Linked DNA regions of Macaca fascicularis. The protein of the gene in region 5 purifies or fractionates together with the protein of the main gene of each other region. This does not show direct contact. Links are inferred from orthologs where the notes say so. Each region holds a gene or a part of one and is shown on either strand. Other genes may lie near its edges.

What was found.
Region 1: the proteins of NOLC1 (region 5) and NOP56 purify together in Homo sapiens (affinity purification with mass spectrometry; 6 studies listed by BioGRID and IntAct, with this or other methods). This does not show direct contact. The link is inferred for Macaca fascicularis from reciprocal best matches to the Homo sapiens genes NOLC1 and NOP56.
Region 2: the proteins of NOLC1 (region 5) and NOP58 fractionate together in Homo sapiens (co-fractionation; 3 studies listed by BioGRID, with this or other methods). This does not show direct contact. The link is inferred for Macaca fascicularis from reciprocal best matches to the Homo sapiens genes NOLC1 and NOP58.
Region 3: the proteins of NOLC1 (region 5) and ARRB2 purify together in Homo sapiens (affinity purification with mass spectrometry; 5 studies listed by BioGRID and IntAct, counting the BioPlex papers as one, with this or other methods). This does not show direct contact. The link is inferred for Macaca fascicularis from reciprocal best matches to the Homo sapiens genes NOLC1 and ARRB2.
Region 4: the proteins of NOLC1 (region 5) and CSNK2A2 purify together in Homo sapiens (affinity purification with mass spectrometry; 5 studies listed by BioGRID and IntAct, with this or other methods). This does not show direct contact. The link is inferred for Macaca fascicularis from reciprocal best matches to the Homo sapiens genes NOLC1 and CSNK2A2.
Region 6: the proteins of NOLC1 (region 5) and ARRB1 purify together in Homo sapiens (affinity purification with mass spectrometry; 4 studies listed by BioGRID and IntAct, counting the BioPlex papers as one, with this or other methods). This does not show direct contact. The link is inferred for Macaca fascicularis from reciprocal best matches to the Homo sapiens genes NOLC1 and ARRB1.
Region 7: the proteins of NOLC1 (region 5) and TCOF1 purify together in Homo sapiens (affinity purification with western blotting; 4 studies listed by BioGRID and IntAct, with this or other methods). This does not show direct contact. The link is inferred for Macaca fascicularis from reciprocal best matches to the Homo sapiens genes NOLC1 and TCOF1.

Annotation. Positions count from the first base shown.
Region 1 is NC_088384.1:84,652,073-84,656,219, reverse strand, and holds the start of NOP56 (nucleolar protein 56), read left to right. Parts: upstream 1-1,347; 5' UTR 1,348-1,376; coding exon 1,377-1,379; intron 1,380-1,569; coding exon 1,570-1,659; intron 1,660-2,006; coding exon 2,007-2,121; intron 2,122-2,925; exon of another isoform or gene 2,926-3,000; intron 3,001-3,128; coding exon 3,129-3,290; intron 3,291-3,462; coding exon 3,463-3,661; intron 3,662-3,780; exon of another isoform or gene 3,781-3,912; intron 3,913-3,982; coding exon 3,983-4,147. UniProt on the Homo sapiens protein: Involved in the early to middle stages of 60S ribosomal subunit biogenesis. Required for the biogenesis of box C/D snoRNAs such U3, U8 and U14 snoRNAs. Part of the small subunit (SSU) processome, first precursor of the small eukaryotic ribosomal subunit.
Region 2 is NC_088386.1:98,148,727-98,151,609, forward strand, and holds part of NOP58 (nucleolar protein 58), read left to right. Parts: intron 1-260; coding exon 261-322; intron 323-1,440; coding exon of another isoform or gene 1,441-1,483; exon of another isoform or gene 1,484-2,029; intron 2,030-2,419; exon of another isoform or gene 2,420-2,578; intron 2,579-2,673; coding exon 2,674-2,807; intron 2,808-2,883. UniProt on the Homo sapiens protein: Required for the biogenesis of box C/D snoRNAs such as U3, U8 and U14 snoRNAs. Part of the small subunit (SSU) processome, first precursor of the small eukaryotic ribosomal subunit.
Region 3 is NC_088390.1:4,809,150-4,812,649, reverse strand, and holds part of ARRB2 (beta-arrestin-2), read right to left. Parts: intron 2,520-3,500; coding exon 2,489-2,519; intron 2,333-2,488; coding exon 2,198-2,332; intron 1,563-2,197; coding exon 1,502-1,562; intron 1,389-1,501; coding exon 1,344-1,388; intron 1,125-1,343; coding exon 928-1,124; intron 319-927; coding exon 259-318; intron 1-258. UniProt on the Homo sapiens protein: Functions in regulating agonist-mediated G-protein coupled receptor (GPCR) signaling by mediating both receptor desensitization and resensitization processes.
Region 4 is NC_088394.1:54,293,453-54,297,736, reverse strand, and holds the start of CSNK2A2 (casein kinase II subunit alpha'), read left to right. Parts: upstream 1-1,484; 5' UTR 1,485-1,863; coding exon 1,864-1,967; intron 1,968-2,748; coding exon 2,749-2,860; intron 2,861-4,284.
Region 5 is NC_088383.1:111,164,388-111,167,887, reverse strand, and holds part of NOLC1 (nucleolar and coiled-body phosphoprotein 1), read right to left. Parts: coding exon 3,387-3,500; intron 2,430-3,386; coding exon 2,317-2,429; intron 2,193-2,316; coding exon 2,057-2,192; intron 1,429-2,056; coding exon 1,300-1,428; intron 1,092-1,299; coding exon 981-1,091; intron 874-980; coding exon 226-873; intron 1-225. UniProt on the Homo sapiens protein: Nucleolar protein that acts as a regulator of RNA polymerase I by connecting RNA polymerase I with enzymes responsible for ribosomal processing and modification.
Region 6 is NC_088388.1:74,129,267-74,132,766, reverse strand, and holds part of ARRB1 (beta-arrestin-1), read left to right. Parts: intron 1-1,034; coding exon 1,035-1,086; intron 1,087-1,183; coding exon of another isoform or gene 1,184-1,211; exon of another isoform or gene 1,212-1,236; coding exon of another isoform or gene 1,237-1,258; exon of another isoform or gene 1,259-2,464; coding exon 2,465-2,576; 3' UTR 2,577-3,500. UniProt on the Homo sapiens protein: Functions in regulating agonist-mediated G-protein coupled receptor (GPCR) signaling by mediating both receptor desensitization and resensitization processes.
Region 7 is NC_088380.1:157,275,739-157,279,238, reverse strand, and holds part of TCOF1 (treacle protein), read right to left. Parts: intron 2,126-3,500; coding exon 1,565-2,125; exon of another isoform or gene 1,564-1,564; intron 88-1,563; coding exon 1-87.

The DNA.
Region 1 (4,147 bases), on a different chromosome or scaffold from region 5:
AATTCAGGATTAAGGACAGAAATAACGAAGTAAATTGAAGTCTTAGCATTAATATTTTCCATTACATTTTGGAATCGTCTAATTTTATGTATTGATGACGGTAAAAATAATTCAACATGCTAATGTATGGATTAATTTTGCAATTCCATTTTAAAATGTTAAATGGAATAACGATTCAGATTCGTTAAGTCGACATGTGTAACAGAATTCAACCACATCTGTAAACTATATTAAAATTATGTGAGTAAGATTTACCGGCCATATTTTTTAGGTTTGACATATTAGATTTGTGAGTGAACTATGTACTTGGATTTTGTCAAGTAACTCAATCGATTAACAAAATAACAATTAAATGTATAAATGTAGTTTATAGCTATACAGCATTTTTAAAAATCCCCTTCGAATGACTCTTTAAAATATATCAGGGGATATGCTACTTAAGCATAACTAGGTTTTGGATTTATAACGTTAATATTAATTATTAAAGCAAAACTCATTTCTAAATAGTCGCCTGAGAGCCCAAAAGACGCCCTCGAGGACAGGGAAGGAGCTCCGATTCACTTGGCGCTCGCCGGTGCCCAGAATTCAGGGCCGCTCAAGCGGAGGAGCAACACGTGGCCAGCAAAAGAAGCTGGGTCCCGTGCAGCACAGCAACAAGAAACTGGCCTAGGAGGACGCTGGAGCGTCTTTCTTTCGCACGTCACTGCCTGACACCGTCATTTTAAAAAATAATAAATAAAATTAGTAGTACGAAGAAAGCTGCGCAAGCCACGTTCCCAGCAGGGTCTGCGCCAAAGCGCGCAAGGAAACGCTCCCGTTCCGGGTGGGAGGAAAGGATGCACGGCCCACCCAGCGCTGGGGAGGCTCGTCCCCGAGTAGGGGACGGGAACGGATGGGTCCCGGGGACTTGGGGCGCAGGGTCTGGGGCCCGAGGCCACGGGCGCAGCGGGCAGCCGGCTAGGCAGCGGTCTCTGGGATGGACGCCGTGCCCTACGCGGAGCCTCCCACCCCGACTTCACCCATCTCTGCTGCCCGCAACTTATATGACAAGAACATCTGGAACTGGACTATTATACCGAAAGGGCCTACCCATGTCTTTTCGCTGCCAGCAAGGCCCGACTCCGGGCCGCGCGTCCCCGGCAACCGCGCCCGCCCACGCAGCTGCAGAGGCCAGAGAAGGCCTGCTCGCCCGCGCTCGGCGCCACCCAGCCCGCGCTCCGGGCGATACCACCCCGGGCGGCCCCTCTAAAGGCCGGGAGATGGTGTCGTCCCCGGCCTCCGATTGGTCTGCGGGGCGGGGGCGGGGCCTCTGGAGCCTGGTTCCGCGCGCCGGAGCGCGCTAGCCGCATTGCGAGCCGAACCCGGGAGCAGGCGCCATGGTGAGGAGTGGTTGTGGGGCGCGGGCGACGCGAAGGTGGGGGCTTCGGTCTGGGTTCGCGCTTCAGACAGAGCCTGGGCCTGGGCCTGGGCCTGGGCCTGGGCCTGGGCCTGGGCCTGCGCCTGCTCTCGGAGCGGGTTCCGGCAGACGCGGAGGTTGAGCTGACGCTAGCGCCCCGGCTCCCGTTCCAGGTACTGTTGCACGTGCTATTTGAGCATGCGGTCGGCTACGCGCTGCTGGCACTGAAGGAAGTGGAGGAGATCAGTCTGCTGCAGCCGCAGGTGGGTGAGATCCATGGGCTCCTCAGGCGGCCTCGCAGACCCTCACCGCGCAGGTCCCAGCATGCAGCGCGCGCTCCCACGTGGCCGGCCGAGAGGTTCGGGGCGGGGGGCGGGCCTGGAAAGCTCTAGATCCGGGGGTCTTTACCTTGACTCATGGGAAGAATCGCTCTAGCAGTTAGAAATAAGCCTCCCGGACCCCGCGCCGGAACGATTAAAGCAGAAGCTGGGTTGTGGGGTCCCGCTGTCAGCATATTTTAAGAGCTTCCAAGGCTGAGAACCGCTGCTTTATGCGCCGCAGAGGCAGGAGGGAGGGAAGGAAACCACTCAGCCTCTTTCTCCCCCGCTAGGTGGAGGAGTCCGTGCTCAACTTGGGCAAATTCCACAACATCGTTCGTCTGGTGGCCTTTTGTCCCTTTGCCTCGTCCCAGGTTGCCTTGGAAAATGCGAACGCCGTGTCTGAAGGTGAGTCGGCCACCACCAAGTATCACAGGGAGATGTGGTTCCTTCTGGTATCCTCTCGGGCAGCTTGTGATAGTATTTGCCGTCCTTGGCCGGCTGTGAGTCTGATAGGTGTGAGGCAGTATTTGAGACATAACTGTGTAATTTGAAATAATTGTCTTCACAGAGCTCAAGATCTGGGAACTGTGATGGACCAAACTGTTGAAAGCAGATGATGTGGGATGTGTGTTACGTTTCCTTGTGGGCACTGTAGTGACAGATTATTTATTTTTTGAGACAGAGTCTCTGCCCTCCAGGCTGGAGTGCAGTGGCACGATCTGGGCTGACTGCAACCTCCGCCTCCCTGGTTCACGCGATTCTTCTGCCTCAACCTCCCGAGTAACGGGGATTACAGGCGTGTGCCAGCCACCACACCCGGCTAATTTTGTGTTTTTAATAGAGACGGGGTTTCACCATGTTGGCCAGGATGGTCTCGATCTCCTGATCTCGTGATCCCCCGCCTCGGCCTCCCAAAGTGCTGAGATTACAGGCGCGAGCCACCGTGCCCGGCTTGACAAAGGGGGTTTCTTAAAGGGGGTTGGCTTAACACCTACCTGTGCCTGAGTTTTTTGCCTAAACACAATCAGGTGTCTAGTTTTCTGCTATTTGCTTGGAAAGGGCGGTTGGATAAACACAGGCTAAGAAAAAAAGGTTTGGTTCCAGAAGGCAAATTCTACTAAATACTCAAGGGTGTGTTACAAGCTATTATTTATTGCACGATTGTGCTATCAGACCTGAGTGCAGTTGTTCCCATGGCTGGGCCAGGCTTTGCAGTGATGACTTGCGAATCAAATCTGTCAATCCCCTGAGTGCAGTCACTGATGTCTCCATGTCTCTGAGCAATGCCTGATGGGGAGGGGTCTAGGTATGCCATCCCAGCATGCTCCGTGGAAGCAGGGTAATCAGCTGAGGAGATGTTAGAATTGATCATCCTTCAGCCTGTGAGTGGGAACTGTGTTCTTTCCTCTGAGGGGTTGTTCATGAGGACCTCCGCCTGCTCTTGGAGACCCACCTGCCATCCAAAAAGAAGAAAGTACTCTTGGGAGTTGGGGATCCCAAGATTGGTGCTGCAATACAGGAGGAGTTAGGGTACAACTGCCAGACTGGAGGCGTCATAGCTGAGATCCTGCGAGGTGAGACCATCATCTGTTATATTCATGTTATCCTTGACATTTTCGGGGAGGAGGTTCTGGAAACGTGGGTGCTTGTTGTGACTTCTGGGAAGGCCTTGGACTTGGCTGGTGCCCATGGGTGCGGGAGCTAGCTCAGAGCCCCTTGTTGCTCACCGTCCTGCCCTCTTCTTAGGAGTTCGTCTGCACTTCCACAATCTGGTGAAGGGTCTGACTGATCTGTCAGCTTGTAAAGCACAGCTGGGGCTGGGACACAGCTATTCCCGTGCCAAAGTTAAGTTTAATGTGAACCGAGTGGACAATATGATCATCCAGTCCATTAGCCTCCTGGACCAGCTGGATAAGGACATCAATACCTTCTCTATGCGTGTCAGGTAAAGTGCAGGGGCCACCCATAATACTGGAGCCTTTGGTCTGTAGTTTAGCTAATTTTGAGTCTTGATGAGGACTGACCATCCTGTGGGTAGAACTATGTGGACTGGGGCTGGGTCTAGGCCTCCTGGTGCTTACCACAGGCTGTGTTCTTACACTGACTGTATAGAAAGAGGAGGTAGAGTAAACCTACCCTATATACACCTCAGCTCAGGCCCTGTGCCTGGTCTGTATTGTGAATGGGGGAACATAGAATGAAGATTTGTAGCTCTATGGTTTTTGATGAAGCAGCTGGGCCAGGGAGTGACTGTGGCTCTTTGCAGGGAGTGGTATGGGTATCACTTTCCGGAGCTGGTGAAGATCATCAACGACAATGCCACATACTGCCGTCTTGCCCAGTTTATTGGAAACCGAAGGGAACTGAATGAGGAAAAGCTGGAGAAGCTGGAGGAGCTGACAATGGATGGGGCCAAGGCTAAGGCTATTCT
Region 2 (2,883 bases), on a different chromosome or scaffold from region 5:
AATTTATGAAGTTACTTTATCTGCTAAACAGTTTTATGATCCTTGTTAGTATGTCTAAAGTATTCTTTTTGTGCCTACTATTAACAATTGCTATTATTTACCAAGAATTGATGTATACAATAGCATTTGCCATTAGGATATGCTATTCAAAATAACAAAAAATAGCAGAAATTGTTTGCTGGCCCACTGATTCACTAGACTGTTTAGTGTATTATAAAGTGACTTAGAATTGTATCTGTAATTTTTCCTTTTCGTCTTAGATAAGAAAAATAAGTGGAACAGGAAAGGCATTAGCAAAAACAGAAAAATATGAACACAAAAGGTGAGTACATTTAAGTGACAATGGGGTGAATAGTTTTTTTAAATGTTAATTATTGACAGCGATTTTGTAAATTTCACTTTGATGTGCCCATAGTTTTTCAAATTTATTTAATTGACAAAAATTGTTTATTGTGTACATGTTATTTTGGAAAATGTGCACATTGAGGAATGATTAAGTCAAGCTCATTAACATGCATTGTCTTACATACTTTTTTTTGTAGTAAGGACATCTTAAAATCTACTTAGCAATTTTTAAGAATATAACACATTGTTAACTGTAGTTAACCATGTTGTGCACCCCTAATTTTTTTCCGTGCCATTTAGTTTTCCACATTAACTTCTACTTTTCATTCATATACGTATTTATTCATTTCCAGATATTGATAGTAAATTTTTAAATCTAAAGTTTCTCTATAATATGTTCTTTATCAAAAAGTTCATTCAGCCGGGCATAGTGGCTCCTGCCTGTAATCCCAGCACTTTGCGAGGCCGAGGCGGGCAGATCACCTGAGGTCAGGAGTTCAACACCAGCCTAGCCAACGTGGTGAAACCCCGTCTCCACTAAAAATACAAAAAATTATCTGGGCGTGCTGGCGGGCGCCTGTAATCCCAGCCACTTCGGAGGCTGAGGCAGGAGAATCGCTTGAAACCCGGGAGGCGGAGGGGTGCAGTGAGCTGAGATTGCGCCATTCCACTCCAGCCTGGGCAACAAGAGCAAAACTCCGTCTCAAAAAAAAGTTCATTCAGAGTTAGTCCCTACAGAAAACTATTTTGTAAAAAGTATAAAGACAGAAAACAAGTCTAAAAATGGCTGAGGCACGATAAAGCATTCAAACTTAACTATCAGATTAACAAAAGATTTGTATGTGGAGGGGTATTTGGCTTATTATTTGAGGTAATGCTCAATGCTGGTGAGGTTGTCATGGTGGAGGCAGAATGTGGTATAGCTATTCTAGGAAGCCATTTCACAGTATGTATCAAGATTCTTCAAAATGTTCCCAGTCATTACCCAATAAATTATACTTTCAGGGCTCATAAACCTTCAAGAATTTATTTATTTGGTTTTTAAATTTTATTTATTTATTTATTTTTTGAGATGGAGTCTCTCTCTGTTGCCAGGCTGGAGTGCAGTGGCGCGATCCTGGCTCACTGCAACCTCTGACTCCCCGGTTCAAGAGATTCTCCTGCCTCAGCCTCCCAAGTAGCTAGGATTACAGGCATATACCACCACATCCAGCTAATTTTTGTATTTTTAGTAGAGCCGGAATTACACCATGTTGGCCGGGATGGTCTCGATCTCCTGACCTCATGATCCACCTGCCTCGGCCTCCCAAAGTGCTAGGATTACAGGCGTGAGCCACAGCGCCTGGCCTCCTTCAAGAATTTTAATAGTAAAATCTTACACTATAAGTGGATGAAGAGAGCAATATATAGTAACATTAGCAATTATAAATACATATTTAAGTATAATTAGTGTGTTCTGGAAGGAAATCAGATGTGTTTCTGTGGGCATTCACATTTTCTTTTTTGTGAATTTTCCAAGCTTTCTACAATAGCCATACATTCTGCAATATTTACAGTCTGTAACTTATTATCTCTAGTTGACAAACATGGGTCTTTGTTTCTTAAATTGTAAATGTCTTTAACCTATAAAAATTAAATAGTCATGCAGTTTACAAATCTGCTTAAGAAACAGAACATTTTTTAACTTGTTTTGAACCAATTTTTTTAATGTTCCTGTGCAATTAATGCTTTTTACTTTAAACATATGCAGTTAAAGCATCAGTTCACATTTTAGGCACTCATTTCAGTATTTTCTTCCTGCTTACATTAGAACAAAAGCAAATGTTGGGTTCTAAGGAATCTTTTCCATGTGTATGTATTTGTATCCTTTCTTGTTCTGCTTGTGATCTTGTGATGAAGACTTCTATACTAAGCTTGGTTTAGATTTTTTGTTTTGCTTTTTTTTTTTTTTTTCCATTTAATTGCGCAGTGTTCTGAAAGTTGGATTGGTTCATTTTTCACTTTCTAGTTAGGTGTGAAGACATTTTCTTCTTTCATTTCCCCCATGCTGATTGAGTGTTTTCCTGTACCATAGTAACTACATTGATTACTAAATCAGAATTCATTTAGCTCACCACTTCTCTTGAATGTGATTGACCTACTTGAAAAATATTAATACCTTTAACTTTTGGAAACTATTAGTCTTCATAAACTACCCCAAAGCCACTAAAATGAAACAACATTGTGTGCTTATGTAAGTATTATCTAATGGCATTTTCTTTATCTCTTGAGAATTATTTCAATTACAGATACTTGTAGAGATTTTCTAAAACTTTTTGGGTCTTTCAGTGAAGTGAAGACGTACGATCCTTCTGGTGACTCCACACTTCCAACCTGTTCTAAAAAACGCAAAATAGAACAGGTAGATAAAGAGGATGAAATTACTGAAAAGAAAGCAAAAAAAGCCAAGATTAAAGTTAAAGGTTAGTTTGAATTTTTTTTAACACAACTTATACTCATTTCTTTAGAACTATGGATTTTGTGAGTCTTACAAGTACA
Region 3 (3,500 bases), on a different chromosome or scaffold from region 5:
CCCCGAACCTGGCAGAGGCTTGGTCATGGTAGTGCAAGGGGCAAGGGGAGCCCCCATCCCCAGATCCATGCAGGTCCAGAGAGCAGGAGGCAGGGTCACGCGTGCATCACCATACACACCCCACTTCCACGAAGACACTGGCCTACCCTCGGCCCCACCCTGGCATCTCGACAGTTCACCCTCTGGCTCAGCTGTGCCTCCAGGCTCCTGCTGGCCCCTGTCCTGCCCTGGGAGCCCTCAGAGCTGTTCCTCCCATACCTTCCCTGTGTCCTCTGGTCCTGGCTGCAGTGTGACAGAGCATGGAAGATTCTGGGGTATCTGTGGCAGAGGAAAGAGAAGACTTGAGTCCTTCCAGAAAGCCCCCAGATCTTCCTCCAAATCTCAACTTGCGAGGCTGGAGAGGTTGGGCGCGGTGGCTCACGCCTGTAATCCCAGCACTTGGGAAGGCCGAGGTGGGCGGATCACCTGAGGTCAGGGGTTCTAGACCAGCCTGACCAACATGGCGAAACCCTATCTCTACCAAAAATACAAAATGAGTCGTGTGTGGTGGCGCACGCCTGTAATTCCAGCTACTCAGGAGGCTGAGGCATAAGAATCGCTTGAACCCAGGAGGCAGAGCTTGCAATGAGCCAAGATTGTGCCACTGCACTCCAGCCTGGGCGACAGAGTGAGACTTTGTCTCAAAAAAAAAAAAGAAAAAGAGGCTGGAGAAAGGACTCCTGGGGATGAGAAAGGAGGAAGGAAGGGACCCAGAGAGAAGGCAGATAATCAAGGGCTTCCTGAATGCATGGGGACCCTGAAGGGAGGTGGATCTAGGGTCCCTGCCTCACTGTTTCTTCCAGATCTGTCCATAGCGGTGCCTTACCCCCACCCCAGACACAGTCCCAGCCCAGCCCCCTGGCCCTCAGAGGGCAGGGGCATCCTCACGGTGAAGAAGAAGGGGTGTGCATGCTGGCCAAGCTTCCTCAGCAGCCGGTCCTGCAGGCGGGTGGCAGGCCGGGGCGGGTTGGGCACTGGGGGGAAGGCCTGGTAGGTGGCGATGAACAGGTCTTTACGGAAGGACAAGCCCAGCACATCCAGGTCTTCACGGCCATAGCGGAAGGCGCAGGTGAGGGTCACAAACACTGGCAAGGGAGGGTAAGATGTGTGATCAGGAGCCCCGCTTCCCCAGTCCCCCAGCACCTAGCAGCCGCTGCTCCTCCCTCAGCAGCATAAGACTTGCCTGAACCCTACTCCTGGCTTCCACCTCCAGCCTCCATCTCTCTGGGGTGCCCTTCCAAGGCCAGCCCATTTCACTTCCCTAGCCCCCACTTCCCCTGAGCCCCCGGACTTGGGGCCAGTACCTTTGCGGTCCTTCAGGTAGTCAGGGTCCACAAGCACCACGCCATCTAGGAGGGGGACACACCAGCTCACTTCCGGAAAGAGCCGCCACCCCCTTTCCTGGGCCCGGGAACTTCTTCCCCTCTTGGGGAACGAGCTGCTCCTTTCTGAGAACACTTACCTACAGGGTCCACCTTGTCCAGGTGATCTACGAAGTCCCGCTTGCCCAAGTACACGGTGAGCTGAGGATGTCAAGGGGTCACAGGGGAGATTGGGGAGGATGGTGACAGGGCATCGGAGCCCTCAAAACTGGCTGCCCTGCCCGGGGATCTCCAGGCTGGGCTATCAGGAAGGAGTTTCTCCAGCTTTCCTCCCAACAGTGTTGGAAAGTGAGGGTGGTGGCGTTTCTCAGACTAGTGGACCTTAACGCTTTTTAGCTGCTCCCTAATCTCTGCACACCTCTGCCCACCAGCCCGGTGTGTGTGTGTGTGTGTGTGTGTGTGTTTGTGTGTGTGTGTGGCCTCAGCCCACCCAGTCAGGTGTGCATGTGAACATGTATGTGCATGTGTGTCTGTGTGTGTGTGTTTGCATCCTCAGGGAGGACTCAGCCCAACCAGCGAGGTGTGTTTGTGTGTGTCTGTGTGTGTGTGTGTGTTTGCATCCTCAACCAGCCAGAGGGGTGTGTGTGTGTGTGTGTATTTGTGTCTGTGTGTGTCCGTGTGTCTATGTGTGTGTGTCTTTGGATCCTCAGGGAGAACTCAGTCCTACTAGCCAGCTAGAGAGCAGCTGCCACCCTCACGAGGTCCCCTCAAGGGGCTCTAGGATCAATAAGCCATAGCCTGGGTGGGGGCTGTTAACTTTTCCCAGCCCCACGCACCTTGGGTTGGGCCCTAGGAGGGCTACAGGCACATGGCTTGCTTCTGGCCGCCTCCTCTGTGATCTGCTTGGGGACCCAGGCCTGCCCCACCCAGCCTGTGGCTGGCTCAGGCTGAGCAGCCTCTGCGGCAAGGGGCTTCAGGAGGAAAGGAAGTCGGCTCTTAGCTGTCACAGGAAGTGGGGAGCTAGGGGTTGGGGATCATCTTTGGGCAGGCTGGGGATCGTCTAGGGGAAGGCCGGGCTTTGTTGGGGCCCAGGGAGGGTCGAAAGGGTAAGTGCTGTGGAGACTCACCTTGCAGTTAGGGCTCGACTTCTTGAAGACCCTAACAAAACAGAAAGGGAAACCCCACTGCCTCCCTCAGACTCAGCAGGGACCCCACACCAGGACCCTCTCCCTCCCAGGCCTCCTGCCTGAGGCTGCAGGGCTTTGCCCAGCTCTGCCCCTTTCCCCTTCTTCCCGGAAGGTCCTTCCTATTTCTAACATGGCGGCAAGGGGAAATGCCCCTCTCTTGTCCACCCTCCTTCGTCCCCGTCCCTCCCTAGTAATGGCCACTGGTTGCCCTAGGAACCACCCAGGCTCTTCCCAGAGGACCAGAATGGGCAGGTTGCCGCAGTGTCTGGGTAAGACCTAACCATCTTTCCATCCGGTCTACAGCGCTGACCGCTGGAGCATAGAGGAGAGCAATGACCCTGGCCTTTGGCCCTAGATGGTTTCTACCATAGGCCCTACCCAAGTTTGACTCTACTCTACTCACCTCCAACTGTCCCCAACTCCGACCTCAACAGCTTAAAAGCCTATTTGAACGCCCAGCCTTTAGGAAGCTGACCCAGCCCAGACTCTGGTCACTCCTTGTTTTGGGTTCCTGTCACACCTTGTTGATGTTTTACTTGTGGTGTGGTAGCACACACGGACAGTTAGCTGCCTCCCTCCTCAGACTGTGAGCCTCGGAGGCCTTATTCATTTACGCATCTCCAGCACAGTGCCACCCAGATCATGAAGATGCTAATGCTGCTAACATTCAGAGTGACTTCTCCATGCCCAGCACCGTTCCACGTGTTTCAAATGTGTCATCTCTTGTAATACTCTGTTGTTTGAGACGGAGTCTCGCTCTGTTGCCCAGGCTGGAGTGCAGTGGCGGGATCTCAGCTCACTGCAACCTCCGCCTCCCAGATTTAAGTGATTCTCCTGCTTCAGTCTCCCAAGCAGCTGGGATTACGGGCGTGAGCCACCACGCCCAGGTATGTTTTGTATATATATATTTTTTGAGACGGAGTCTCGCTCTATCACCAAGGCTGGAGTGCAG
Region 4 (4,284 bases), on a different chromosome or scaffold from region 5:
TATAGTGAGACTCTATTTCTAAAAAAAATACTACTAATAAAGAAAAAGGCGAAACTTGAATAGGGAAAAGGAGTCACCCTTGGGAAGGTGGGGTGGAGGGGTTGGTGGTGGCTCCTAGTTAAGCTTGGAGGATGGAAGGAACCAAAAGATGGATGCGTGGTGGTCTCAGGGAGGGAGGCATGATCAGAGAAAGGCCCTGGGTCTGGGAATAATCATATTGTACACATAGTATCTTAATATTGAACACCATCCTACATGTTTCACATGCTTTACCTTGTTTAATTCTCCTTGCAGCCCTGTGAAGTGAGTGCTATTACTGGTTTTGTGCTGTAGAATCTGTGACACAGAGAGGTTGAGTAATTGTCCTAAGGTCACACAGCTTCTAAGTAGCAGTGCTGGATAGATCTGACTCCACAGTCTGTGCTCTTAGCTGTGTCAAGGAGGAAGGCCCAGGATTTCATCTAGAAAACAGACTGTGAAAAGGGATTGGAATGAGAGCAACCTGCACTGGGTGCAGAGGTCCTGTCGATAAAGGATGCAGGATGGGAAAGGAAGACAAAGGAAGGGCCTAGAAGGTCCAAGGAGAAGGGTGTTCAGGGCTGCAAGCAACACTGGAAGCCAGGCCAGTTCAGTTGACCACCTACCCTGGTGCATCCCCAACCCCTGCTGTCCCTTCAGGTCGGATTTGCAATTCTGCTCTCCCTCCTCCTAAACACAAACAGGAGATTTACACACTCAAAGTCTCTCCCCACAAATAACTAATTAATCACAAAGGGAAAAATTGTAACTTTGCAGTGGCACAACCTGGCCGACACCAGCTTAACCAAGTGACCAAAGTGGATATTCAGGGAAGGCTCTGGAAGGGCATTTGGGGGAAGCGTGGAAAGGTTTTGTGAGGACTCTGAATGACGGGGGTGGGAAGCTTTGGGGACTGAGGAGTCTACCCTAACAGGGCAGGGTCCAGAGGGGGAAGGAGGGGTATGTCTCCGGGAAAGGGAGAAGTATTGAGGTGGGAGAGGTTCTGAGGTTTGACCGAGGCCCTGGGGAGGGACTTGACAGTTTGGGTGACAGGAGGGTCAGAATAGGGTCAGTATGGGAGGTGTCGGGTGGGTAAAAGCTGGGTGAGTGCAGGGCTAGGGGTAGGGTCTCCAAGGACAGTGAAAGGGTCGAGACACGCGGGCGAGGGCTCTAGGGCAACGGCCAGTGGAAGGGGGGCTCCTGTGGCGTGAAGTCAGGCCAGCCCGAGGGTGAGGCGATTTGGACCGTCCGACCTGGGGCGACGGGAGGGCGAGGGTGCGGGACGGTGCGGGAGGGCGCGAGGTAGGCGGCGGGGCGTGCCGGGGCGGGGCCGGGGCGGGGCCGGCACCGCCCGGCGGGTCCCCCCGCGCTCCAGGGGGCGCTGTGAGCCTGGGCGGCCCCAGGCCGGGCGGCGGCCGCTCCCAGCGAGCGCGGCCCCTTTTCCGGGTTTCCTCCGCCTCCTCCTCCTCTCCTCCTTCTTCTCCGCTGCCGCGGCCGCTGCCCCTTTCCCGGCCGGTGGCTGCCACTGCCGGTGCCGCCGCCGCCACTGCCGCCGCCTCCTGGGGGCCGCGAGCCGAGCGGAGACCGCCGCGGATCGCGAGCGCCGCCCGCCCCGCCGCCCCGCCGGCCGCTCCAGGGCCGGGCCGGCTCGGCCGGCGCCCCCCGCGCCCCCAGCCCGCCCGCCCCCGCGGGCCCGGCCTGGCGCGGCCGCCCGCCGCCGCGCTCCTCCTCCTCCTCCTCCAGCGCCCGGCGGCCCGCTGCCCCCTCCGCCCGCCGCCCCGCGCCCCCCGCCGCGTCGCCGCCGCCACCCTCTGCGCCCCGCGCCGCCCCCCGGTCCCGCCCGCCATGCCCGGCCCGGCCGCGGGCAGCAGGGCCCGGGTCTACGCCGAGGTGAACAGCCTGAGGAGCCGCGAGTACTGGGACTACGAGGCTCACGTCCCGAGCTGGGGGTAAAGCCGCCGCCGCCCCCCGCCGGGCCCGCTGACCCCTGCCCCCGCCCGGCCACCCCCTGCGAACCGCACTCGGGCCCGGTGGTGTCTCCCGCCGACCCCTCCGCGGGCCCGCAGGGAGGCAGAGGTCCAGCTCTCGCACATGTCCTCGTCTTCCTCTTCCCTCCCCTTGTCCCTTTCTCCCCGCTTTGCGCACCTCTTTCCCCCAAGGAATGCTTTTTTACTCGGGGAGAAGTGTGGGGTCCAGGGATCGACGCCGGGTAAAAGTGAGGGAGTAGCCCTTCCTCACGCTTCTGGGTTTCCACTGGGGTGGGAAGTCAACAGCTGTCCTTTGGAGCTATTAAAATTCCCTGCCTTTTCGGTTTTCTGAGATGAGGTGGTGGGAGGAAATTTCTTAAAGACGTCCAGTTTTTTAAAACAGGCACTGTCTACCCTCAGGGTGTGAAACGGGAAGCAGGTGCTGGGGAGCCGCGGGGCACAGGGGGCACCCTCTAGGCCTTCAGGACGGGTGCTTTGCTCAGCCCTCTGGATTGGCTCAGAGCGTTGCCTTCCTGCCCCATCTTTCCAAGTTAGGAGAGACCAATTAGGTTAGGAGCTCTGCAGAGTGAAGGGAGCCAAGATTACGTCGTGGCTTTCATTTAGGGAATGAGTTGTGACGTGATGTATAGACACTTCCAAGTGTTTGCCTGTTGGAAGCGGCTGAATGACGTATACAGTGAGCATAGGCTTGCTTAGATTAACCCCCAGTCCTGGCATTTATGTGTGTGTCTTCCTTTTACAGTAATCAAGATGATTACCAACTGGTTCGAAAACTTGGTCGGGGAAAATATAGTGAAGTATTTGAGGCCATTAACATCACCAACAATGAGAGAGTGGTTGTAAAAATCCTCAAGGTGAGTGTCCTATGAGTGGTATGTAACATTTTTCCCCCCCACAGGGCAGAAGGTTGTAAGCTACCCCAGTCACGTTCTAGAATGGGCAATGCAAACTTGAATTTAATTTAATTTATTTATTTAGAGTCAGTCTCACTCTGTCACCCAGGCTGGAGTGCAGATCATAGTTCACTGCAGCCTTCAACTCCTGAGCTCAAGTGATCCTCCCATCTCACCCAAGTAGCTGAGACTACAGGTGCATGCCACCACGCCCAGTTATTTTTAAAATTTTTTTGTAGAGTCAGGGTCTGGTCAAGTTGCCCAGGCTGGTCTTAAACTCCTGAGCTCAAGCAGTCCTCCAAAAGGACTCCTTGCAGGCCTCCTAAAATTGCTGGGTTTACAGGCATAAGCCGCTGTGCCCAGCCCGCGCTCAGATTTTATTTATCTGATGTCCCTTCATTACTTCTTTTTCCACCCCATTTTCCTGTGAACTTTCAAGAAAATGTGCAGACTGGTCACAGATCTTAGTTCAAATCTAAGTTCAGGAAGGTGTTTGTTCTAAAAAGTAAATTGCCTAAAGCAAAAATTCCTAAAGGGCTCCATTTGTTAGAAAATAAATAGGTATTCAAAAGACAGGAAAGCCATTCTCAATTTAAGGGCTCCCTGAGCACTGTGTTTGTTAGTCTTGGTGCATGCTCTCCGTTGTTCCAGAAAGAAAGTTGGAAAAAATTGGAGCGACTTCAGAAATGTATGTCAAACCCAAGTGGAAGGAAATTCCTTAGCAGATAATCACTTGCTTTTTTTTTTTCCTTTGGCAGTAAAGTTTCAGGTGGGATGGATATAGTGCGCCAGTAGTGCTGAGAAGCCTTGTTGGGAAGCCAGAGAGCCATTGTTGCTTATCAGCTAGTAAAAATGTAGAAGAATTCACGTATTATTACTAAAGCAATAATTGGAACAAAACGATTTTAATATATGGTTTAGCAATCAGTTTGATAATGATATGTCTTTTGTTATCTCTTCCATGAAGATGATTTTAATGAGCATGAAGGGTTGGCTAAATTTTCCTTCTGGTAACATTAATTGTATAGCTTTAATAATGTTTTATAGGCTATAGTAAAAAGTAGTTCTTAGAATCTGTGATGGGTCTTCGTTATTGCCAGATCATTTCATGTGGTTACATGTCATTTAGTGAGAGATTGAGAAGACGGAAGAGTGACGTAAGCACTTTGCATACATGTGATTTCCAGTGTGGCCCTTTTGCAGAGGTTCTGTGGACTAAGAATGTGGAATTGAAAAGCTGTTTCTGTGTGTTAGAGCAGCTGTGTAGGTAATCACTGTTTAATGTGAGGGGTCAGGCTTATGCTTTCTCGTAATCTTTCAGAAAAAATGATTAACTCCATCACTCAAAACATCCTAGCCTAGTGATGAAGAAGCAGAATTGCAGT
Region 5 (3,500 bases):
GAAGTTAAAGCTGCACAAGCCGTGATCATGCCATTGCACCCCAGCCTGGGTGACAGAGTAAGATTCTATTAAAAAAAAAAAAAGACCAGTTTCCTGTTCTTCCTCCCAGTTTCCACAACTGGAAGCCCAGTGGTGGGCCTCCTCTCACTACCCTACTCTCAAAGAGTATATCCCATCCTGATTTGGGGGGACAAAACCCAGAGGGCATGTTTACTGGGTACAGACCTGATTTGGAAACTGCCACTGCTGCCTTTTTCTTTTCTTCTTCCTCTTCCTTGCTGTTCTTAGCTTCTTTTCCATTCTGGGCAGTCAGTGCAGAGGTGCCATTGGCCTTGGGAGCTTGTGGTCTGGGAAAGCCCTTGCCCTTGGGCTTCTCTTCCTCCTCCTCACTGGAGTCATCAGAGGAAGAACTGCTGCTGCTCTCAGTCTTTCCTTTCTTTGCAGAGGCTGGCTTGGAAGGGGCTGCACCTCCTGCTACCTTCTGTGGCTTCTTCTTAACTGCAGACTTAGCTGTCTTCTCTTCCTCCTCCTCCTCCTCACTGCTGGAGCTGTCTGAATCAGAGCTGCTGTCCCTACTACCCTGAGGAGCCTGCTTGGCAGGCAGAGGCGGAGCTGCTTTGGCAGTCGCCTTGGGCTTAGTGGTGGCCACCGTCTTTTTTTTCTTCTCCTCCTCACTGGAGCTGCTCTCTTCCTCACTGGAGCTGCTGTCAGCATTTCTCATCGGAGGCTTCTGGCCACCGCCCACAGATTGCTTGGGGGTTGCAGCTGGCTTTGCTGCAGGTGACTTGATGGTGACAGTTGGCTTATTTGAAGAATTCTTGGTGGTACCAGCTGGCTTGGAAGGAGCTTCAACATCCTCAGAGCTGTCAGAGTCTAGACACAGAGGGATGGGATCAACAGCTCCCCAATTCAGATTCAGGGGAGCCCTTAGCAGCTGCCTGAGAGCATTTCACTGAACTGAGGGCCTCCATATGCCTTACCTGAGCTGTCTGAAGAACTCTCTGCTGCTTTCTTTGCTGGAGGTGGTTTAGTGGTTGCTTTAGAGACGACTGCCTTAGTTGGGGGTTTCTTCTCTTCTTCAGAACTTGAATCTGAGGAGAACCTGTAGCATTATGCTGGGTCCAGAGTCCCAACCCAACCAGGACAGCAATAAAAAGAATGCAAAGACACACACAGAGCCATAGCTCTGTCTTGCTTTAAGCAAAAAACAATGGAGGGATGGAAGGCTTTCTCTCTCCCTTATTCTTCATCCCCTTCTCCAGACCCACACTGAGGGGAGGCTGCATCCCTCTGACTCACCAGACTCATCACTGCTGTCTTCACTGCTTTCCACAGGCTGCTGCTTCTCCACAGCCTTCTTGGGAGGCTGGGTTCCCAGAGACTTCTTTGGTAGGGGAGCAGAAGGTGGGGGGACTGAACTGTAGGGACCTGTTTAAAAAGGATAGTATGATGGTTTTAAGATATGTCTACAAATTTTTTGATACTACTTTCTTCTAGAAATGAAGCTTAATTCCCCTTGAGTATAGGCCAGAATCATGACTCAGTTCTTTTTTTTTTTTTGAGACGGAGTCCCGCTCTGTCACCCAGGCTGGAGTGCAGTGGCCGGATCTCAGCTCACTGCAAGCTCCGCCTCCCGGGTTTACGCCATTCTCCTGCCTCAGCCTCCCGAGTAGCTGGGACTACAGGCGCCCGCCACCTCGCCCGGCTAGTTTTTTGTATTTTTTAGTAGAGATGGGGTTTCACCTTGTTAGCCAGGATGGTCTCGATCTCCTGACCTTGTGATCCGCCCGTCTCGGCCTCCCAAAGTGCTGGGATTACAGGCGTGAGCCACCGCGCCCGGCCAATGACTCAGTTCTAACAGAACACGGTGTCACTTCTGAGTCTAAGTTATACAAGGCACTGGAGATTCCTCCTTGCTTTCCCAGATCACTAGTACTGGGAGAAGCTAGCTGTCATGTCATGAGGACGCTCAAGCAGCTCTATGGAGAGGTCCATGTGATTACTGCAGCTGGGCCCTGACCACAGTCATACAGCTTGACTCTCCATGTCCAGTCACCTGGTTTATTTTTCAGGGGTTTTTTTTGCTCCTCTTCCTCCTCACTGGAGGAATCCTCACTGCTGGAACTCTTCTGGGTAGGGGTGGCAACTGCTTTCACTGGGGCCTTGGCCACAACTTGCTTTTTAGGTGCAGTCTGCATTGGAAAGAAAACTGATTACCACAGGAAAATGCTGATCCAACCAATCCTGCCAGGGAATGGAGACACACACACACCCCACCCTGGTCACCTCTTCCCTGACCGAAGTTATGGCCCAGACCTTCTTGGGGGTGGCTGCTGCCTTTTCCTCCTCTGAGTCATCACTGCTACTGCTGCTGCTGCTGCTGCTGCTACTGGCTGCTTTACCATTGGCTACTTTAGGTGCTGCTCGAGCTGGAATACCCAAGAAAAAGAAAGAGTAAGGAGTAATAGGGCAAGTCAGGACCATGAAAAACCTCCTTCCTATGAGCAGAGAACTTAGAAGTCCACCAATTCCCCCCCTTTTTTTTTTCTTTTGAGACGGAGTCTGGCTCTGACTCTGTCGCACAGAGCAGTGTGCAGTGGTTCAAGCAACTCTCCTGCCTCAGCCTCCGGAGTAGCTGGGATTACAGGTGCCCACCACCATGCCCAGCTAGTTTTTTTATTTTTGGTAGAAACAAGGTTTTGCCATGTTGGCCAGGCTGGTCTTGAACTCCTGACCTCAAGCAATCCGCCTGCCTCAGCCTCCCAAAGTGCTGGGATTATAGGCGTGAGCCACTGTGCCTGGCCAGGAGTCCACCAATTCTTTCAACTTTAGAGCAGCCATCAAGGAGAATGCCATGGTTTACCACATCAAAGGATGCCTTTCCTATCCCATGGCAGGAATAAAACTAAGAAAAGATGACATAAATAATCTCAATATGCCCTCTAAAATCTTTCACTTCAACCTCCATTCAGAGAAATAACCTAACCCTCAAGTTACAGAAAAAAAGAAAAATTCTCATTTGTCTCATAGAATGACGTACAAGAATAAAAAAGGCAGTGAAAAGCACAACAAATAGATATTTAAGTGGTTACAGTGGAATGGGATGTGTAAGAACATAAAATGTCTATGAAATGTCACAAAAAAATACCAAATGGATATCATTTTAAAAAATATACATTTTTCCTTGCTGCAATAACTGTTTCTCTATTTACTAGCTCCTATGAAATCTTGTTATTAGTAAAACCTTTAAAATTAAAAGACCAGTAATCAATACCTCCAGTTCAACAACCAGTACCATTTCACCCCTGTGCCAAATCAGCAGTTTTAACACAAGTCCCCAGAGCAATCTGGTTCCCAGCCCAGCCTCTTGGGAACAGAAACAGTACCTGGTTTGGGAGGGGCCTTAGCCTGAGCTTTAGCTGCCACAGGTGTTATCTTTGGCTTCTGGTTCTTTGGTGGCTCATCCTCGGAGCTTGAGTCAGAATCAGAATCAGAGCTCT
Region 6 (3,500 bases), on a different chromosome or scaffold from region 5:
CCGCCTCCCAGGCTCAAGAGATTCTCCTGCTTCAGCCTCACAAGTAGCTGAGATTACAGGCGGCTGCCACCACACCTGGCTGATTTTTGTATTTTTAGTAGAGACGGGGTTTTACCATGTTGGCCAGGAGGGTCTCAAACTCCTGACCTCAGGTGATCTGCCTGCCTCAACCTCCCAAAGTGCTGGGAGTACAGGCATGAGCCACCGCGCCCGGCCTGTCATGTTTTTCAAGTGATAGCAGATTGGTCATATTTCACTGAATCTGAGACTTTCAGTGAAGAGAGACAACATTATAGTAGATACGATTAGGAAAAATCTTCCATGGTTAAACTGTGCAGTGCCATCGACGGTAAGATACACTCCAAGTTCAGAGATGTTAAAATGTGAAGGAAAATATAAAAAAGATTGTCTGGTTGGGCACAGTGGCTCACTCCTGTAATCCCAGCACTTTGGGAGGCCGAGGCGGGTGGATCACGAGGTCAGGAGATCAAGACCATCCTGGCTAACACAGTGAAACCCCGTCTGTACTAAAAATACAAAAAAATTAGCCGGGCATGGTGGCAGGCGCCTGTAGTCCCAGCTACTCGAGAGGCTGAGGCAGGAGAATGGCGTGAACCTGAGAGGCAGAGCTTGCAGTGAGCCGAGATCGCGCCACTGCACTCCAGCCTGGGCGACAGAGCGAGACTCTGTCTCAAAAAAAAAAAGATTGTCTTAGAGTTGGTAAATGTCATACATGCTAGGAATTAACGTAAGTCATGTTGGAGACCTCCCAAAAGAAACAGAAGTTAGAGGATTTTCTGTTCTTCTGGGGCTGCAGTGGGGATTGGGGCCCTCCTGGTGCCCTCCTCCCTGCCTTTCAGATGCTTTGGGGTGTTTCAGTACCAGGAATGAGTCCTCCCCCCTCTCCATTCCCCTTTTTCTTTTGCACTCCTCATGTTAGTCTGGTTGTCCCAGGGTGGGGGCCTGTGCCTACTCGCCCCGTGCTCATCCACTCACTAACCCCTGGACACTCTGCCCACCCGCCCTGTGTTTAGTTCCAGAGAACCAGACGCCAGTAGATACCAATCTCATAGAACTTGACACAAAGTAAGCCGAACCCTGCCTGCAGACATCGGGGGACAGGGTGGGCCGTGGGTGGGCGGGGCGGAGGGGTCATTTGCATATATGCTTATTAACCCCTGAGGAGCCGCTGGTCTAACCCCGTCTGCTGAGAGCTGCCTCTGCTCGCCTCTTCAGCAACCCGCTTGCCTGCATGTGACTTGAAGGACCCTCCGTGCCTGTTCCTCTTCCTCCTGCCTTGGTGGGGTCTGTCTTCCTCCCTCGTCCTTGCACGTCCGTCCGTCAGTCTGTTCGTCCATCCACAGCGCCTGCTCAGCTCACACAGGGCTGGTCCATGGCCCTGGGCTCGGCTCTCCTGTCCTGCCCACGCCAACCAGTGGAATCAGGCTGTGGGGTGGGCAGGGGACTGGGGATCTTGTTGCTTCTGACTCCTGAGGACCAACCGATGTGGATTTCCCTGCGGTCAAAGGCCATCGAGTCACCGGACAGTGGCCAGAGGGGGAGGACCTGGGCCGACTGCGAGAACCACCTCCAGGGCCAACTGGTTTTCTTGCTGCAGCTCCAAAGCCAATCTTCCCTTGTCCCCCAGGAGAAATCTGGGGTGTGGGAGTCTCAAGTCACCCCATGAGGATGCCACATGCACTGGCTGAACCCTGTTGGGCAGGGGACCTGGATGGACCCCTGCATGGTCCTAAGTGGACATGTTTCATGGTAGAAGGGAACTCGCTGTTCTTAAAGGCAGTCCTTAGTCCTGAAACCCCACTTAAGCCTCCCCTTTCCTCACGAACAGGTCCTCTACTCCCCTATTCAGATTCACATCCTCCTACCCCAGCCTTCTCCTGTGTGGGATCCCCCGTGGGAGAATCGGAGCTGACACTTCCTGGGAGAAAGGTTCTCCATGGTCTTCTCTTCCACGAAGCCAAACTACTCCTTCCTGTCCAGACACGGGAATGCTTCATAAGGGCAGTTTTCTGGGTGGTGGGGTGGGGTTTACCAGTCTTATTCTTGGGGGATTCAGAACATGCTGTGAAACAACTACTGGTGGCCTGGCTTCTTAAGTCCTTCCTTGGGCTACAGAGCCACACTGCTCCCCCCACCTCCTAAAGAACCGGGTTACTTTTCTAGCCCTTAGGCACAAGAGTCAAATTCATGCCCCTCTCTGCCCCTTTCATGACTGGCCTGAGTCCTGATGTGACTGTCCTTACTGCCACAGGGGGCATCCACATGTGCCTGCCAGACAGGCCTTTCTGCTTATGGTCAGTCGCCGAGGTCAGAGACCTCACAGAGGGTGGTTCTCTCCCCGGCCCCAGAGCCACACTCTGAGTCACCTCTGGCCGGGCCTCTGGATAAGCCTACTCTCCCTGCCCCTGCAAACACGCCACATTTTCCTTGTCTCTCCCACTAGTGATGACGACATTGTATTTGAGGACTTTGCCCGCCAGAGACTGAAAGGCATGAAGGATGACAAGGAGGAAGAGGAGAATGGTACCGGCTCTCCACAGCTCAACAACAGATAGATGGGCCGGCCCTGCCTCCACGTGGCTCCGGCTCCACTCTCGTGCGCTCGGATGCTTATTCGTCTTCTTCCCGTTCTGGTTTATTTTCCCCTTTGTTCTTCCAGTTTCTACCAGGGGGGCCTGTGGCCTTCCAGATCACGGTGATGAACCTCTGACCTCAGGATTGGCCCCACATCACCATGCCAACAGGACCACAGCACACCGGCTCCACCCCATCTCTGCCATTGCCTCTCCACTGCCCTCCTTTTCATGCTGTCTCCCAGAAAAGCTGCCAGGGTTCTGGCCTTGGAATTGGACTTGAGATGGGGAGCAGACAGGGGAGGATGGGGCATGCAGGACACGGTGTGGTGGGCATGAGGGCTTGGAGGGGTGGGGATGAGGGCTCAAGACACGAGAGAAGATGTCCACGGTTCCAGGTGGTTAACAAAGTTCTGGCAGCTAAAAGATGACTGCATTGAAGGCCACCTCCTTCTGGCTGGGAGGGGCAGACCTGTGGACAGATTCTCAATGCCTTTTTGAAGTTCTGACCCACCAAAGACCTTCTGCCTTCACCCTCCTCTCCACCCGATGTCCCTCTGTGTCTGATAGTGACGTTGGTGAAAGTTTGTAGACCACAGGAGTAGAGAAAAGCAACTGGAGTGACTTTCTTACCAGCAGTTACCTAGACTGAGGCAAGCTGTGTGGACTCAACAAAGTATATTTCAGTAGTGTCAGGATGTGACATCTTAGCTACCTTGTATTTCAAGTGCATGGGCCTGTCTAGAGATATGCAGAGAGAAAAGCAGAGGGAGGGAGGGAGGGGGCCTTCAGCAAGCACCAGCCCACAGCAGAGTTAGCGGAAGCTCTTGATGAGGGTTCCCGAAGTGGGCCGCTGGGATATGGAGGCAGGGGGTGGGGAGAGGAGAGTCTGCCTTATGTCCCTTC
Region 7 (3,500 bases), on a different chromosome or scaffold from region 5:
TCTTTTTCTTCTGGGACGGTGACTCAGAATCTTTGGTTGAGGACTTTTTTGCTTTCTTCTTTTCTTTTTTTTCCTTGTCTTTTTTTCCTAAGGGAAGAAACTAAAGTTCTTGAACAACAGATGGTAATCCTAAGTGCTGGGGTCAATGTTGGGAGGCGCACAGGGCAGGGCTCCCAGTTCTCCCCACACCACCGGGAGCCATCACAACAGGCCGGCAGGGCTGGGCGCAGTGGCTCATGCCTGCAATCCCAGCACTTTGGGAGGCTGAGGCAGATGGATCGCTCAAGCCCAGGAGTACAAAACCAGCTTGGGCAACATAGTGAGACCTGTCTCTACAAAAAATTAGCTGGGCATGGTGGTGCACGCCTGTGGTCCCAGCTATTTGGGGGGCTGAGGCAAGAGGATTGCTTGAGCTTGGGAGGCTGAGGCTGAGGCTGCAGTGAGCTGCGTTCCTGACACTGCATTCCAGCCTGGGTGACAGAACAGGACCCTGCCTCAAAAATAAAAATAAAACGGGCTGGCAGCTGTGACGACCACCCAGTGGGGCCAGCTCATGATTTCTGTCCCATCCATGGACCACCTGGATGACTACCATTTTTCTTTAGGTCAACTCACTTTTTAAAACTCCCGCAAATTTATTTTAAATGGACACTATCTATCCGTACTGTAAATGGAAATCTAGCACAGTTCTGAGCACCAAGGAGCTGCATATCCTGCTGAGGGTGCCTGACTCTTGTTCTAGAACAAGCTGGCTCTTCGGGCATCACTGGCATCCCACCATCCAGGGTGATGCTCAAGAGTGCTGCCTAGGTTTGACTCTGGCTCCACCTAGTAAAACTCTGTGGCCCTGAACAGGGTCTCTACTTCTGAGCCTCAGTTTTCTACCTGCTGAGCCTCATTTCTACCTAAATGAGGTCCTGCTGTAAGCTGAGTCTCTAGAGCAGCACTCAGTAAAGGGCCAGTGTTACTACGGAGGGGAAACTGAGGTCTAGAGAGAAGATGGGGTTTGGGATGAGGATTTTGACAGTCTGGTTCCTGGTCCATTCTGCACCCAGGAGCTGGCTGGAGCAGCAGGTTCCTCCAAGATCTGCTGCACTGGGCTTGGGGAAAGAGGACATGACTCCTCGTCCTTCTGGAGCATTCCTGGCAGTGCTGGCCCAAGTGCTCTGGAATCGAGTTCTGGCTTTGCCACAAGCTGCCCCCATGACTCTGGACAAATCACTTCTCAGCCTTTTTTTTTTTTTTTTTTTTTGACAGTCTCGCTCTGTCTTTCAGGCTGGAGTACATATGCGTGATCTTGGCTCACTGCAACCTCTGCCTCCCGGGTTCAAGCAATTCTCCTACCTCAGCCTCCCGTGTAGCTGAGATTACAGGTGCCTGTCACCACGTTCAGCTAATTTTTTGTATTTTTAGTAGAGACAGGGTTTCGCCATGTTGGCCAGGCTGGTCTCAGCCTCTCCTTTCTACATGGGAGGAATTAGACCAGGTGCTGGCTGAGAGTCCCTCCCGCCCCCGTGGGGTGCCCAGCAGCCCTCGGGGTGGGCCGGGAGAAGAGGTCACTCACTCTTGTCGGATTTCTTCTTCTCCTTCTTGCTCTTTGGGTTGCTTTGATCTCCACCTTCAACCTTCCCTATCCCCTTCTGAAGCTCCTTTTCTGGCTCGTCCTTGGCCCCTTGGGAGCCAAGAGACCCCTTCCCTTTTTTCTCCTTGACATCATCACTTGCTTTGTCTCTCTTTGCTTTCCCCTTGGAAGTCGTGGAGGTCTTTTCTGGGGAAACAAAGGCCTCCCCACCTTCCCCGGCCCCTAGTTTCTTCTTCTTCTTGCTCCTGGGGGTCCTGGAAGCCGGCTGGTCTCCCGATAGCTTCCGCTTGCGGCTCTCCCAGCCCTTCCTGCTGCTCTCCTTGGTGGCGTCCACCACCTTCTTTCTTTCCTGTTCCAGCAGCTCGGTCAGGACCTTCACCACTGAGGCCTGCACCTGGGCCTCGTTCAGGGGCCAGGGTTGGCCCAGGAGGCACTGGGTGATGTTGCTTTGCAGCGCCAGCGTTGAGGCTTGGGGGTTCCCAGCCCCTTTCTTGGGCTTCCGGGACTTCTGAGGTGTGGTGCCTGAAACAGCCTCTTTTCCACCTATGGAGAGAGAATGTGGGGTCTCAGATCTGGGAGAGTTCGGGACAGATCGTAATGGTACCCAAGAGCGAAGAGGGTACAGAGAGTGACTCCATCTTTTCTTACAATGGCACAGAGGGGGAGAGCAAGGCTTGGCGGTCACTCTGCCCCAGCCGGTCTCCTAAGCTCACATCTTTCCACCAATTTCACACTCTGACTTCATTTCTAACTTACAGCTTTTCCCTGTCTCTTTACACTAAAAACTCCAGTTAGGGTAGGAGACAGAAAATGATTCCAGAATGTGAATGAAAGGGCCTGAAATCTATCAATGAAATGAAAAGTCAGACGGGAGGGAGATGGAGTGTGGAGCTGGAAGGACACCTGGGTTCTAGGTCTGACTTTCCCACCAACTTTCAGTGTGATTCTGGCCGGACCCCTCTCCTCCCAGGGCCTGGTTTCCCGTCTATAACCTGAGGGGTAGATGAACAGTAAGGCTACCTATGATACATTGTAGACTTAGAATAAAAGTGGGGGCCAGGCAGACATTCAAATGATGATTACCCACACTCGGCCCCTCCTGGTCAGGGTGTCCAGGCAAGGTGGGGAGTGCTGGGTGCAGTGTCTACACACGTGGTGGCTGACTAAGCAGGTTACTGCCTGCCGGAGAGACTTCTGGTGCAGCCTTTGTTTAGAATTTTCCACGCCTCTGCTTGCCTTTGATAATTGTGTGCTGACTACACGTGTAAAAAAAAAACCTTCCACAGCCCCCTCTAAAATGTCTCCTTGTTGCACCGCCTCTCACAAAGAATGTTGGGGAAGAAAGTGAGCAGCAATTCTCTTCCGACGCAGCCGGGGCAAGCTGCAGCTGAAAGCCCCATGACTGGGTCCCCTCGCCATCTCTAACTTTCCAGGTGACTTGGAGGTCTCTGCCCCATTCTGGGTCTCATGGGCACAACACTCCTGCACGCTGGGATCTGAAAGGTGGCTTGGTGGTTTGGCCCTGGAGATGTTTGCCTGGAGGAAGGCCCAGGTGGATACTCCATGTCACACTCTATGTGACACTCATGTCACACTGAGGCTAGGGCTGCCCCCTGCAGCATGCAGTGAACCTGGCCCCTCAGCCCCACCCGGGATCTCTGGCAACTTTTGGCTCTAGAGCTGCAGTGGGCTGGGAAGGGCAGGCCAGGTTAAGCAGAGGGAGCCCCGGGACGGCTAGAGGCCCAATTCCATCCTTTGGGGATTCTTCAAGATGGCAGGAGCCAATAGAGAGGGAAGCTGGGGAGGGCACAGTTAGCTCCGGCCACCTCTCCCCCCAGAGCCCACTTTTCTGCTGCTGCTTTTTTTGAGACAGAGTTTTGCTCTGTTGCCCAGGCTGGAGTATGGTGGTACAATCTCG